Drosophila melanogaster: one gene and its partners. The protein of the gene in region 3 purifies or fractionates together with the protein of the main gene of each other region. This does not show direct contact. Each region holds a gene or a part of one and is shown on either strand. Other genes may lie near its edges.

Evidence for each region.
Region 1: the proteins of EMC8-9 (region 3) and EMC1 purify together in Drosophila melanogaster (affinity purification with mass spectrometry, with the first as the bait; one large-scale study listed by BioGRID). This does not show direct contact.
Region 2: the proteins of EMC8-9 (region 3) and EMC4 purify together in Drosophila melanogaster (affinity purification with mass spectrometry, with the first as the bait; one large-scale study listed by BioGRID). This does not show direct contact.

Annotation. Positions count from the first base shown.
Region 1 is NT_033777.3:7,902,468-7,909,092, reverse strand, and holds EMC1 (ER membrane protein complex subunit 1), read left to right. Parts: upstream 1-1,729; 5' UTR 1,730-1,870; coding exon 1,871-1,965; intron 1,966-2,032; coding exon 2,033-2,675; intron 2,676-2,765; coding exon 2,766-2,912; intron 2,913-2,995; coding exon 2,996-3,308; intron 3,309-3,381; coding exon 3,382-3,402; intron 3,403-3,707; coding exon 3,708-4,042; intron 4,043-4,096; coding exon 4,097-4,291; intron 4,292-4,351; coding exon 4,352-4,429; intron 4,430-4,487; coding exon 4,488-4,689; intron 4,690-4,748; coding exon 4,749-4,901; intron 4,902-4,968; coding exon 4,969-5,139; intron 5,140-5,203; coding exon 5,204-5,437; intron 5,438-5,499; coding exon 5,500-5,660; 3' UTR 5,661-6,063; downstream 6,064-6,625. Other genes in the region: Taf7 (TBP-associated factor 7), read right to left, coding at 1-1,209, 1,274-1,468; mRpS9 (mitochondrial ribosomal protein S9), read left to right, coding at 6,461-6,556.
Region 2 is NT_037436.4:22,866,613-22,869,874, forward strand, and holds EMC4 (ER membrane protein complex subunit 4), read right to left. Parts: upstream 1,632-3,262; 5' UTR 1,541-1,631; coding exon 1,485-1,540; intron 1,425-1,484; coding exon 1,295-1,424; intron 1,243-1,294; coding exon 928-1,242; 3' UTR 852-927; coding exon of another isoform or gene 788-851; 3' UTR 563-787; downstream 1-562. Other genes in the region: Arf1 (ADP ribosylation factor 1), read right to left, coding at 2,470-2,634, 2,734-2,859, 3,053-3,162, 3,230-3,262.
Region 3 is NT_033778.4:22,880,770-22,884,477, reverse strand, and holds EMC8-9 (ER membrane protein complex subunit 8/9), read left to right. Parts: upstream 1-1,787; 5' UTR 1,788-1,878; coding exon 1,879-2,076; intron 2,077-2,557; coding exon 2,558-2,971; 3' UTR 2,972-3,156; downstream 3,157-3,708. Other genes in the region: YME1L (YME1 like ATPase), read left to right, coding at 1-130, 187-577, 653-1,316. UniProt on the Drosophila melanogaster protein: Part of the endoplasmic reticulum membrane protein complex (EMC) that enables the energy-independent insertion into endoplasmic reticulum membranes of newly synthesized multi-pass membrane proteins like rhodopsins.

The DNA of each region.
Region 1 (6,625 bases), on a different chromosome or scaffold from region 3:
CAATTCCCTTTCAATAACCTGTGTGTAGAGATTATCAAGCGTTTCCTGCATTCGTTGTTTGAGTGTGGCATTCTGAATGGAAGCAATTTCCGTTGACTTTTGCACCTGCTGCGCTTTCAGTTCACGAATCTGGCGCGTCAGTTGATTGATCTTCTGCTGGACCTGTTGCTGCGTGTACTGCGGCTGCGGTTCGTCTATGAATTCCATGTTCTCGAACTCCTCGCGCTTGGCTAGCATTTGGCTATCGTAGAAGCCACTGGGAGCAGCAAGGTTGGAGCTTGATCCGGCGGCGCTGAGCTTAGGACTGCTGGCTTCATGCCCAAACATAGACTTGCTGAACACGTTCTGCTCCATTTTCACTACGCCCGCTCCAGTATTACTGCCACTAGCGCCAAAGAAGTCCGACATTCGTGAATCATCAGCCGAGAGTCGTGAGGATTCCTCCATCACCCGCCGCTGCATGGTGTTATTGCCCCGATCGGGCTCATCCTCGTCATCCGTGCTGGACACTTCCTCGCCGAAGATGTCGTGGACAGCAACTCCCATGTTCGGCGCCCGGTGTGAGGGAAAGTTGCTGGCTTCGTCATCATCGGACTCCACTTGGAGGTGCCGCTGGGAGCTCATTTCCATGATCGTCTTTTCGCTGGCATGCATGGTGCTTTCGTCCTGCAAATCGTCATCCGCATCGTTGTAGGGTTTGATGTCCGATTGCTCCAGTTCATCCATTGGCTTGTCCTCTTCGTTTATGATTTCATAGTCAACTCTGACAGCCTCGTTGTCAATGCGCAGCAGATGTTTCACTTCCTTCTCAATCTCGGGAGCTTCGACATTCTTTTTCTTCAGAGTTTTGCGGAATCGTCGTTTTCTCACATTCTTGCACGGCGGTGTGATGCCGTGCGGAAAGAGGTATTTTTTGTCCACCTTGTTGGGGTCCTTCTTTTTGTTCTTGTTGGGCGACTCCTTTTCCGTCTCGTCCTCCCGCTCCTCCTTGCAAATGAGTATTTGGCAGATGTCTGCCGACTTGTAGAAGCTCTTGTTGTCAATGGTCTTGTAGCTCTCGACGACGGTGGGCAAATCCACGAGTTTCGTGTACAGTATCTGATCATCTATTCGCACTTCACCGTACCTCAGATCCGGATCCAGTTGGATGGTCAGCCGGTCCTTAATGGTGCCAGCATTTATTGCCTCATGGACCGTGTCCGCCAGTTCCTGCGGAGAATCCGTCAATTTGCACGGCTTGTTGTGATGTTTGTTTGTGCTATGTATGGCTTACCTTCGGCACGCGCATGATAAACTGGCTCTCCAGCTCTACGCCATCATCCCGGGCCTTGTGCTCCGCTTGCTTAACCTTGTCGCTCTTCTTTTCAAACATTTCAATGCGATTTTTCCAGAAAAATACAACTTCTTTTGAAGACACTAAATGCTCATTAGAGATGGGAGTTAGATGGGGCACCGCTAGTGATGGCATTCACGTCACAGTTATCGCTGCGAGCACGACGAATATTTAAAATGGTTCACACTGCAGCCGCATCTGCAGAAATATAAGCCCTGTATACCGCAAAATGGCAAGGCATTTTATTTTTTAATCTTTTTACCAACAAATTTAATCATAAAGGTGAAGACCGAATGGGTTTGCCGTACGTTGAAAGGGGATGAGCCGCACTGCTTTGAATATCGGATGTGAGTCCGCTGAACTATCGATAAGGCAATCGTCAGCCAACCCTGCTCCAATTTCGTCTTCTCATCCCTTTTGCCATGACGGAAAACACGAATTGATGTGGATTTCTACTAATTTATAACATAAAAATACGTCAAAAGTTGAACAATCAGAGATCGAGCTAGTCGAAGGTCAGCAAGCAAGGCGGACGACATGCAGGAGAAGTGGTTACTGCCCGCACTTTCGCTGGCGCTCCTATTGGGCACCTGCTCGGCGCTCTACGAAGACCAGATCAAAAAGTTCGACTGGTGAGTGTGGTACGATATCTGACCATTGACCCGGCGCTAATACGGCGGATATGTGCGGCTTTTGCAGGCGAGGCGTCAATGTGGGAGCACTGAAGCAGTCTCGCGTCGACCTCAACCATTTTCAGCCGCGGATTCTGGTCACCACCTATGAGGGAGTGGTGGCCAGTCTGTGCGTAAAGACCGGCGAATTGGTGTGGCGGCAGGTGCTCGAGCAGAAGCCGCGCGGCGACGTCAAGCTGCTCCAGGTGAGCGGATTCGCCGATGACAGCAGCGACACGGCCGCCGCTCCGATGGGCAGCAACATGGGCTTCGACATGCTCACCGTTCAGGGACACGCTCCTGCTTTGGTGCGCGGCTGGAACACCAATATGGGTGCCCTTGAGTGGGAGTGGTCCATCATGCCCATGAACACGGAGCGGGCCCAGGACGCCATGTGGATCTACAGCAAATCCGTGCTATATCACGTGCTGCCTGCCTGGCGGAGCCACCTCGAGGTGACGGCGTATTTCGCCAGCTCGGGCCACAGCACTGGCAGCACCAGCAAGGTAATAGCTCCTTGGATCACCTCAGAGAGCTGCACCCTTAGCGGCACCTTCTACGTTTGTACGGACGGAAAGCAGTTGATTAGTTTGGATCTCGTTTCCAAAAGCGGTCAAGTAATCCGTACTTCGCTCGAGGCGGAGCCGAAGGGAAAAACTCAGGCCTTGACGGTGAGGAAAAAACTTTGCTATTGCTTTTATTGAAAGTGAAGTAATAGATTGTTGTAAGTGAAGTTATAATTCGTCCAAACATTTCTATAGGGTCTGAATGGTGTTGTGATTGTGGATGGGAAGCCAATTAGTGTCAACAAGGACCAATCGATCTGCGGTGATCTGCGAAGCTCCAGCTTCGCCGTGGGCAGCTTTAACTATCGCAAAGTCTTGGCCTATGCAGATCTGTCCTCTGGAGTACGTTTAAACTTATATTTACTGTTCTATTCTACTATTTCTATGTGAAAACTAATTGTTTCTTTCCCTGTGCGTATGAACAGATCCTCAGGATCAATGCTCTGTATTTGGATAACTGTGCACCGGCAGCGGAGTTGGAGCAGAGTCTGCCATTCCCCGAGCATTTTGGCACTCCGTCGCTGAGCAACTTCGACTGTAAGCAGAAGCGCAATGGCGAGGGCAAGAACTGTCTGTTTTTGTTTAGCAGCACCTCGGAGTCCATCGTGGCAGTGCAGCATGGACGCGTTCGTTGGTCGCGCGAGGAGTCGCTGGCAAATGTGATCGACTCGCAGTTTGTGGATCTACCGCTTGCCGATACTGAGGGCACATTGGAGAACGAGATGAAGGGCAAGGCCGGTGAGTGTACTTGACTTATGCACTACTTTAAGGTGAACTCATAAAATTTATTATTGAAAATTCATACCAAAAGGGGATTTCACAAGTTTTGAGAGTAAGTGAACGTTCACAGCAAACTAATCATGCAATATTGTTTGTTACATGTTTATCACTTTTAATTTTGTGTTTTTTTTTTTAATGTTTATTGAACGTACCACTAATCTAAAAACGAATGTTTACTAACAAATTCAAGCATGCTTCGCTAGTTTAAAGCTAAGTGTATTACTTTTACTTTTTTACTGTCCAATAATTAATTTCCAATGTAAACTAAAATATGAAATATCTTTGGTATATCGTTAATGTTTAAAGATCATATTAAATTGTTCTTTACTAATATTTATGTTTTCACCACGTAAACAGGAGACATTGCCAGTGCCTTTTTGCGTCGCATCACCACTCAAGCTGTTCAGATTCGGAGCTTGTTCCTTCATGTTATCGGACTGGGTCCTCCACCTACAGACACCCAGCGAGCCGGCTTGGTCAGAGACTCCTTTGGCCTCCACAAGATGCTGGTTTTACTGACGCGTGCTGGAAAGATTTTTGGCATTGACAATGTCTCTGGGAAACATCACTGGCAGCTGCATCTTCCCAATGTTATTGGATTCGCTAACGACGAACAGATGCGTCTGATTGTCCAGCGCTCGGCCAAACACTTTCCACTTCAGCCGTTGTGCACTATTTTGGGCAAGAATGCTGTAGGTCTGACTGACAAATCGCATAGTTCCCACGCTAATTCTAATCGTTTATAGGTCAGCGGCAATGGTGTGCTCTATCGTTTTAATCCTATTACCGGCAAAGTAGCCGAAGGTGGCCTTGTTCAGCTGGACTACAGAATTAAGCAGCTTTCGTTGCTGGGAGAAACGGAAAAGGACTTTCTGAAGGGCATTCTGTTACTGGATGCTTCGAATAAGGTACATGTTTATCCCGAACATGCGGCCCCACTGGTAAGATATAAAATTCTATGATATATCAATAGAGTTGAAAATCTTTACATGCACGTACAGGCTGATGGCATGTATCTGTACACCGCCGATTTGAAAACTGCAGAGCTGGCCGGCTACTTTGTTAAATATGCGGGCGGGGTAAGTAATGCAGCCTTTTAATATGAAAGCACTTAACTTATTAAACCATTTCCGTTAGCAACTGTCCAGCACGCACATCTGGAATGCTCGCCTGGGCGGCCACAATTCCGAGCAGCAGATTATCGGCGTTGCCGGCAAGAATCCCATCGAGCATGTCCACTCCCAGGGACGTGTGCTGGGCGATCGATCGGTGCTGTACAAGTACATCAACCCTAATCTAGTGGCTTTCGTCACACAGGCACCGGATTCCACACACAAATGTGAGTCTGCATGCGCTTCGTGTAATTAAGCATTCATTTAAATGGCACTTACTCCATAGCCGTGCTAAATTTGTATCTGGTTGATGTGGTCTCCGGCTCTGTGGTTTTCACCATGACGCATCGTAAGGTCCGTGCACCACTGAGCATTGTCCACTCCGAAAACTGGCTTGCCTACTCCTACTTCAACGAGAAATTGCGTCGCACAGAGATTAGTAAGTTACAACAGCGATAGCCATTGACAAGTACCTATATTTACTAAACTTTATTTACTTGCTACAGCCACAATCGAACTGTACGAGGGCAAGAGTCAGGCAAACAGCAGTGTTTGGAGTTCCTTGCAAGCTCCGCCAATGCCCCTCGTGGAGCGCCAGTCTTATATACTGCCCACAATAGTTGAGGCTCTGCGGGAAACTATCACGGAGCGCGGAATCACCAACAAGCATGTGCTTAGTGAGCATTAACGAAAGTAATTTGAACGCCAAATAGGATGCTAACCATTTGTCATTAATTCTAGTCGGCACTGCCAGTGGTTCCATTGTGGAAATGCCGTGGCATTTGCTGGATCCCCGACGTCCTATCGCATCCACGACTCAGGGACGTGAAGAAGGAGCCATCCCCTACATACCCGAGCTGCCTTTGCCAACAGAGAGCCACATAAATTACAACCAGACGGTTGCCCGTCTGCGTAATATTTACACCGCGCCCAGTGGCTTGGAGAGTACCTGTCTAGTCGTTGCTACGGGCTTAGGTAAGGGAGATTTATCAAACGCGATTTTGGTTAAAGCACTGTAAACCATTTTTATTTGACAGATTTGTTCGTTACGCGCGTGGCGCCATCAAAGACGTTCGACTTGCTGAAGGAGGACTTTGATTATATTCTCATTTCCATAGTGCTAGTCGCGCTCACATCAGGCTCGTTGATTGTTAAGCATTTAGCGTCGCGTAAATTGCTCAAGCAGGCGTGGAAATAGGCTTGGCATTATTATTAAATAATTGCTTTAAATATATATAAATTGTACTGCGACCAAATACCACAAGGGAGGATGGAATGATGATGAGAGAATGTAAATCGGCGAGATACTATTGATATATATAACAGAATTCTGATAGCTGCATTACATCCCACAATGCGAATAAAACCTTTTATCAACGCTAAGCCTAGGCAATTATTTATAACTAATTATATAGCGTTAAACATCAAATAACTATAATTAGCTGTTGAAAGGTTTTCATTGCATGTTCTGTTCCTTTGATTTGTGTTCGTTTAAATTTCCATTTGAAAATATCAGCATTGAAAGAGTGTTTAAAAAGTATAGTCAATAAAAGCATTTGTAAAGGTGGACAACGGTAAAGTAAATAAACAATTTTTTCATCAGAATTAACTGATTGTTGGGATTAATTAGGAGGTGGATTCAAAAAATTTTTGATAATTAAAACAAAAAATATAAATAATAAAAATACAATTAAATCAAAAATTCATAGCGTCTATTACCTGATTTATTTAGGACAATTTTTTTTAGAATTTCCTGTAAAGTATAAAAGGAATTATTATTATAATACTTATCTCAAAAATGAAGTAATTTTCACCGTCTTATAACATTGTAAGAAAGTTGTGGTTTTATAGCTTAATAAATTAAAAATACAAATAAAAAAATTTTTAAATGGGCGCCAAAAATCAGCTGAAAGCTTGTGTGTTTTCCAACACCGACCATCCAACTTTAACCGACTGAAACATATGTTTATTCTCTTCTTCTTCCGCAAAATTGAAAGGATGGCACTGCGTGTTTTTGGCTTAAATATAGTAAAAAATAACAGGAATCTGCTGCAAAATGCATGCAAATCCAGGGCACCGATGCCATGCTACATGGTTGGTACAATAGTCAAGTCAATAGACTTGACACTTTTCACTGTTCCCAATTGTGAGACCAAACGTTTG
Region 2 (3,262 bases), on a different chromosome or scaffold from region 3:
CCAAGTGAGCCGCCTGTCCAGATGAACTCCCAGATATGTTACCTCGTCGGCTTGTGGAATGCATATGTTATTCAAGACCAGTGGTGGGCATGTTTGTTTGTTTAAGGTAAAGGTAACCTGCTTGCATTTTTGAACATTTATTGAAATTCTCCAGTCGGCAAGCCATCGTTCTACAGATGTTAAGTGTCGGGATAGGAGTGCCGTGGCTTTTATTGGGCATTTCGAGCGACTGAGTATCGCGGTATCATCAGCGAACGTGGAGGTTGTTAGATTGTAGTCTATGGGGAAATCCGCCGTATACAGGGTGTATAAGATTGGACCCAGTACACTGCCTTGCGGCACTCCAGCTTCGATTGCGCAATCGCGTGAAGTGCTTGTATCGCATCTTATTGCAAACACTCTGTTATATAGGTATGACTTCAGTAGCTTATGTGTGTTTTGGGGCAACAGCTTGATTATTTTAAACAAAAGTCCATCGAGCCACACTCTGTCAAATGCCTTTGTAATTAAAATTGTAAAAATTTTATAAGTCGAACTTGTCAACTAAACCTGGATTTTTTTTCGATATCTTATATTAAGCTTTCCACGCGCTTGTTTTACAAATTCTGAAAATAGGACAAAGTGCTGAAAAAATGCGTGCGAAGTCGTGATGATATCTTTCTACTGTGGTGAATGATGGCTTTTCCGAATAAAAATTTGTTGCCAGGTGCAACCATGACGAAATCAATGCTAAATAAGATCATATTATCATTCTGTATCTTAATTATTTTACTATTTTCTTTAACAGATCGCCCGGCGAGAAACTAGTGGATGACATCAAAAAGGAGGCCAAGAAGATACTAGACGACTGACTGGCGGAATAAGACCACAATTTTAGTTTAAACCAATTTATCTATGATCAAATAAAGAGAATCTATATGTGTAAAACTAGACAAACGAAATTCCTCCGCCGTAATATTCCAGGCGTGTCTGAGGCTGGACAAATGCCAACCAATCGGAGGCGTGGGTGGGGAGGAGCCCCATGCTCTGGCACTTGTAGAGGGCCAAAGCCACGTTTGCTAGGTTGCCCAGGAAGTAGACGATGCGCTGGCCAGTTCCCTGGGCCCCCTCCGCCATTTTGGAAGTCACCTGGGTGGTGAAGATGGCCTTGATAGGCCGGATCAGCATCATGCCGACCATCATGATGGGAAAAATGGAAATCGAGTTTCCTGACATGTACATGATGAATAGATTCATGGGAATCTGAGGGAATCCAAAGGTTAAGCACGGGTCTTTCCAAAGGGCTGCTACTCACGTTCTTAAGAGGTCCCAGGGCAAGGTCCCACGACTTCTTGATGACCAGGCGCTGGTCGCGCACCACTTCACTCTGGTTCACCAAAGCAGATGGATTGTAGCCCAGCGGCGAAGGAATATCAGCATTTTTGCTGCAGGAAAAAGCAAAAGTGGTAAGAACTTGAGTCACCGCGCAGGCTAGCAATCCTTACCTCCCGTTAAAGTCCAGCGCCCACTTTAACTTTTTTGGGTTTTGCTTGGCGGACATGCTGTGCTTTCTTTTATTTAATCTTTTGCCAATTTATAAAACAAAATGACGATTTTTTCTGACAATTGGTCGCTGAGTGTTGTTCAACGTTAAATTCCGAAATTATTGTAGTGTAGACAATTCGATAGGCAACTGATGTGTATGGCACCAGGGTATCGATAGGCAGTTACGATTTTGCGCGGACTTTTTGAAACGCATGTGCAAAAATCGAACAGCGCAGTAGTTTTCATTAATATTTAAATTTTATTTCAAATTACCTTTTAAGTAGTACTTTCCTTTTTAATATGGTCTTATATATATGCGTGATTTTTAATGGATTTTGCGTGACCAAGCGACAACAAGAAACAGAAGGGTTAAAAATTAAAATGGTATTTGTTGTATTTTTAAAGAGCAATTACAATTACAGTTTTTTCTCATTAATATTACTTTAATATTATAAAATTAAAAAGAAATATATATTTTGATGAGGGGTAGGGAGAGGACAAAAATAACTTAAAAAAGACATTTTTATACCATATACTATAGTTTCCTTTCTTGTGTGATTGGTTGGGCTTTTCTTTTACTCGATTTGCTTTTAAACATCCAATAATTATGTATACGAATTTAAATTATATTATAGCGTTCTTTATATGCTGCTTGAAAGGTTATGTTTTTGCAATTCAATAAACAATTTCAGTTTCTTGTTTGGAAATACGGACATGCGGAGCCCTTTAAGTTATGCGAAGATCTGCTGCTCTTGTTGTTGGTGTTGGTGCCGCTGCTGCTGTTTTGTGAAAATTCCTTCTGATGTCGATTTCCACCGTTTACCGCTGGATGTTGGATGTCCTTCAGCCGCTCTTTCTATGGTTCTGGTTGCTGGTTAACTGCTTCGGCTCGCTTGAAATCAGAGTTAGTTGTATTCATATTGTTGCTTTAATTTTAGTGTTTAATTAGCGATTAGCGTTCTTCAATTGGTTGGACAGCCAGTCGAGTCCCTCGTACAGCCCATCACCGCTAGTTGCACACGTCGCCTGGATGTACCAGTTGCGGTTTCTGAGTGAGTGCAAGCCGAGCTTGTCGGTGATTTCGGCCGCGTTCATTGCATTTGGCAGATCCTAAAATGATCCCAGAAAAGAGCGAGGTGCAATATTAGTATGACAATATAAGGACCGAGCAACTGGCTACTGATAACGACAACCTTTGCTTGGACCTACCTGTTTGTTTGCGAAGATTAGTAAGACTGCATCCCTCAGCTCGTCCTCTGCCAGCATGCGCATCAACTCCTCTCTCGCCTCACCGATACGCTCTCGGTCATTGCTGTCCACGACGAAGATAAGACCCTGTAACGATTCAAATGAAAACTTTATTCCAATTGTCCTGGCTTGAATCGTAGGAGATAGATCTCTAAGATAATATAGTCAGTCCCGTCTTGAAACAAAATAAACTTGAATAATCACAATGCATAATCATTACAAGCTGTTAACATCATATAGAATTTTCTGGAATCTGTGGAAAAGCTGAAATCACACTTACTTGTGTATTCTGGAAGTAGTGCCTCCACAGGGGACGAATTTTGTCTTGGCCACCCACATCCCACACTGTAAAGCTAATATTCTTGTATTCTACAGTCTCCACATTGAAACCTAGGGGGACAACCATTAGATATTAGATTTGGACAAGATACATTAAAGGTGCTAATAAGATACTTACCAATGGTAGGTATCGTTGTAACAATTTCGCCTA
Region 3 (3,708 bases):
GGTACTGGCAAAACACTGCTGGCCCGTGCCGTCGCCGGTGAAGCCAAAGTTCCTTTCTTCCATGCTGCCGGACCGGAGTTCGACGAGGTGCTCGTAGGCCAAGGAGCCAGACGAGTGCGTGATCTGTTCAGTAAGTAGATTTCAATTATCCAAAGTGCTCAACTAAACAAGAACATCATCTTGCAGAGGCAGCAAAGGCCCGTGCCCCTTGTGTTATCTTCATTGACGAAATCGACTCGGTGGGCGCCAAGCGAACCAACTCTGTGCTGCATCCTTACGCCAATCAGACCATCAATCAGCTGCTCTCCGAGATGGATGGCTTCCATCAGAACGCTGGCGTCATTGTTTTGGGAGCCACCAATCGTCGCGACGATTTGGATCAGGCTCTGCTGCGTCCCGGCCGATTTGATGTAGAAGTCATGGTGTCGACGCCCGATTTCACTGGACGTAAGGAGATATTGTCTCTGTATCTGACGAAGATTTTGCACGATGAAATAGACTTGGACATGCTGGCGCGCGGCACCTCTGGTTTTACTGGAGCGGATCTGGAAAACATGATTAACCAAGCGGCGTTAAGGTAAGGAATAACTTGTGTTGTATTATTCAATCACAATTTTGAAGAGCGGTACTAATAATTCTAACATTTTGGCAGAGCTGCCATCGATGGAGCCGAAACGGTCAGCATGAAGCATTTGGAAACGGCACGAGACAAAGTACTTATGGGACCCGAGCGCAAGGCTCGTCTACCGGACGAGGAGGCCAACACCATAACCGCTTACCACGAGGGCGGCCACGCGATTGTGGCCTTCTACACCAAGGAGTCGCATCCGCTGCACAAGGTGACCATCATGCCCCGCGGACCCTCCCTTGGACACACCGCCTACATACCGGAGAAGGAGCGTTACCATGTCACAAAGGCACAGCTGCTGGCCATGATGGACACCATGATGGGCGGTCGTGCTGCTGAGGAACTGGTCTTCGGCACGGACAAGATTACGTCGGGAGCCAGCAGTGATCTCAAGCAGGCAACCTCGATCGCGACGCATATGGTCAGGGACTGGGGCATGTCGGACAAGGTCGGTCTTCGCACCATCGAGGCGTCAAAGGGTCTGGGCACCGGTGACACCCTTGGTCCCAACACCATTGAAGCCGTGGACGCGGAGATCAAGCGCATCCTCAGCGACAGCTACGAGCGGGCGAAGGCTATCCTGCGAAAACACACCAGGGAGCACAAAGCGCTTGCGGAGGCGCTTCTCAAGTACGAGACTCTTGACGCCGACGACATCAAGGCAATACTGAATGAAAGCCAGACGTAGTTCCCCCATCGGTGTGGTTTGATGGTGTTCAAGGATCCAATTGGAAGGCCGGGTTGGTCTGCCACCGGACATTCAGCTGAACTGCTAAATATTTTTAGTTACAATATACATATATAAAAAACCGGAGAAAAAAACCAAGCAAGAGCGAGACGCAGACGGACAGTTAAGAAATAAAATGTTACACATATTCAGTTATGTTTTCCATCATTCACGTTAGAATTAAATATTAGTTTGAGTAATAAATTAATTTGAAGTGGAATCCACATATTGTTTGCGCGCCCATATCGATGTGACCAGACTACTGCAACCTATGTTAGAAACCATTTTCTAGAACTTAAGTTATAAATATATTTTCAATGTTAAAGACATAATTAACAAATATAGTTTTGATCACATTTTTTGTGGAATCCATTCCATGCTCATCCATTTTAGTATTTTTCATTGTATATTTGACGTTTGCGGTATATTTGAACAGCTGCGTCGCGGTCACACTTTCTAGCTGTCGAATTTCCAATTCATGTTTTATTTTTTGCCGAATAAATTGAGATAATATTCTGAGAAAATGTGCGACTACAAGGTCTCGGAGCGGGCGTACGCCAAGTTGATATTCCACGCGGCCAAGTATCCACACCAGGCGGTCAACGGACTCTTGCTGGCCGAGAAGACATCGAAGGGCTCCCAAGTGGAAATCGTGGATGCGATTCCGCTTTTCCACCAGTGCCTGTATGTCACCCCCATGGCGGAGGTGGCCCTCATGCTGGTAATTACCAATTGCCCTTCCTAAACTCACATCACGAGGGGCTCGGTGCATTTGTGTCCGGACAGCAATGTGGTGCGCCCCATAATGGAACTATTATGGCTTCAATTTGTATCTAGATCCTCGCACCCTGGCCAAACACTCCGCTATCCAAAAGATATATAACTATTCTAACTTATTGCGGCTGCATAGTTATCCAGTGTTGTGCTTAGAACAGAAAGGTTTATGTTCCAAGCGATCTTTATTTAGTAAAATGTACCTTGTACCCCACGATGGTATTTTAATATTAGCATATCAAATTCAAAAACTAGTGTCACACCACTTTTACCCTGTTAGAAGTTTATTACCCAAATTAAACTAGCAGTCTTAAAGCATTGAAGTTGTGAAGACTGAATTAAATTTAAAAGCCGATAAGGTTGTACCATTGTTTAAATTAAAACATTTTATAAAATAACGATAATAATACATTACCTTACACTTTCAGATCGATGCCCACGCCGAACGGGAAGGATTAGTAATCGCAGGCTACTACGCAGCACCGGAGAACTTCTACGACAACCAGGTCGACAAGACCCCAGCCGCCAAGATAGCTGACAAGATCCAGGAGAACTTCAAGAACGCCTGCTTTGTGGTGGTGGACAACAAACTGATGACGCTGCAGCACGACCGAGCCGCCATCCAGGTATTCAACTGTCCCGGAGACTCTGGAGCAAGGTGGTCAAAGGCCAAGTTTACGCTCTCACAGGCGTCCGATACATTGGAAGGCGTGTCGCTGCTGCTGAAGCGCGGAGCCATGCGGGATTTGGTTGACTTTGACAACCATCTAGATAATCCGGACAAAAACTGGACCAACGACTTCCTGAATCAGCCGCTCAACGATCTGCAGAAACTGTACTAGTCGTCCGTTTCAAACGTACGTTTTTTTTTTAGTCTAGCAAAATCGCATTCGAGGGAACATGCCGGAATTTCAACCTTGCAATTTAATTTATTGTAATTACATTTGGATTTCAGTAATCTTTAGAATAATGCATATAAGTTAAATAACATTCAACTAATTAATAAATAATCAATTCTTTCATCATGTTTTGAGTCAAATGTTGTCTGCAGTCCGAGTCCGTCTGTTGGTGCACCTATTGTAATATCCTTTTTAAGTCCGGTCCGGTCCGGTTCTGTTCTGTTTATTGTGTTGAGTAAACCTAAGCGCGTTACAATTATCGTTAATAAATACAGATGAATAATATGTATATAATTTTGCTTTTGGTTTGTCTGGCTTGTAAATTGAAATATTTTACAATAATATTGTAATATCGCGATTGCTGATTATACATAGGTATACATAATACGTACTTATGTGGATATATCGGAGATCGAAAGTATCGCAAAAACGTTTATTTATATAATTTCAGTGTATTGTATATTTTCATATTATCTGATCGAACGCATAACGAACTCTTTACACCGTACACTAAACGTATAGGGGACCGGGACTACGAATCACTGATCACGGATCTCTGATCACCAACGGGATGCCATCCTGAGCACCTTACTCGTATTTGATTTGCCAGTTATATGCTATATGCTTCTGTAGTTCTGTGTATAAGGAGTATGCTTTGGGCTTGTATATAATATCTTTTG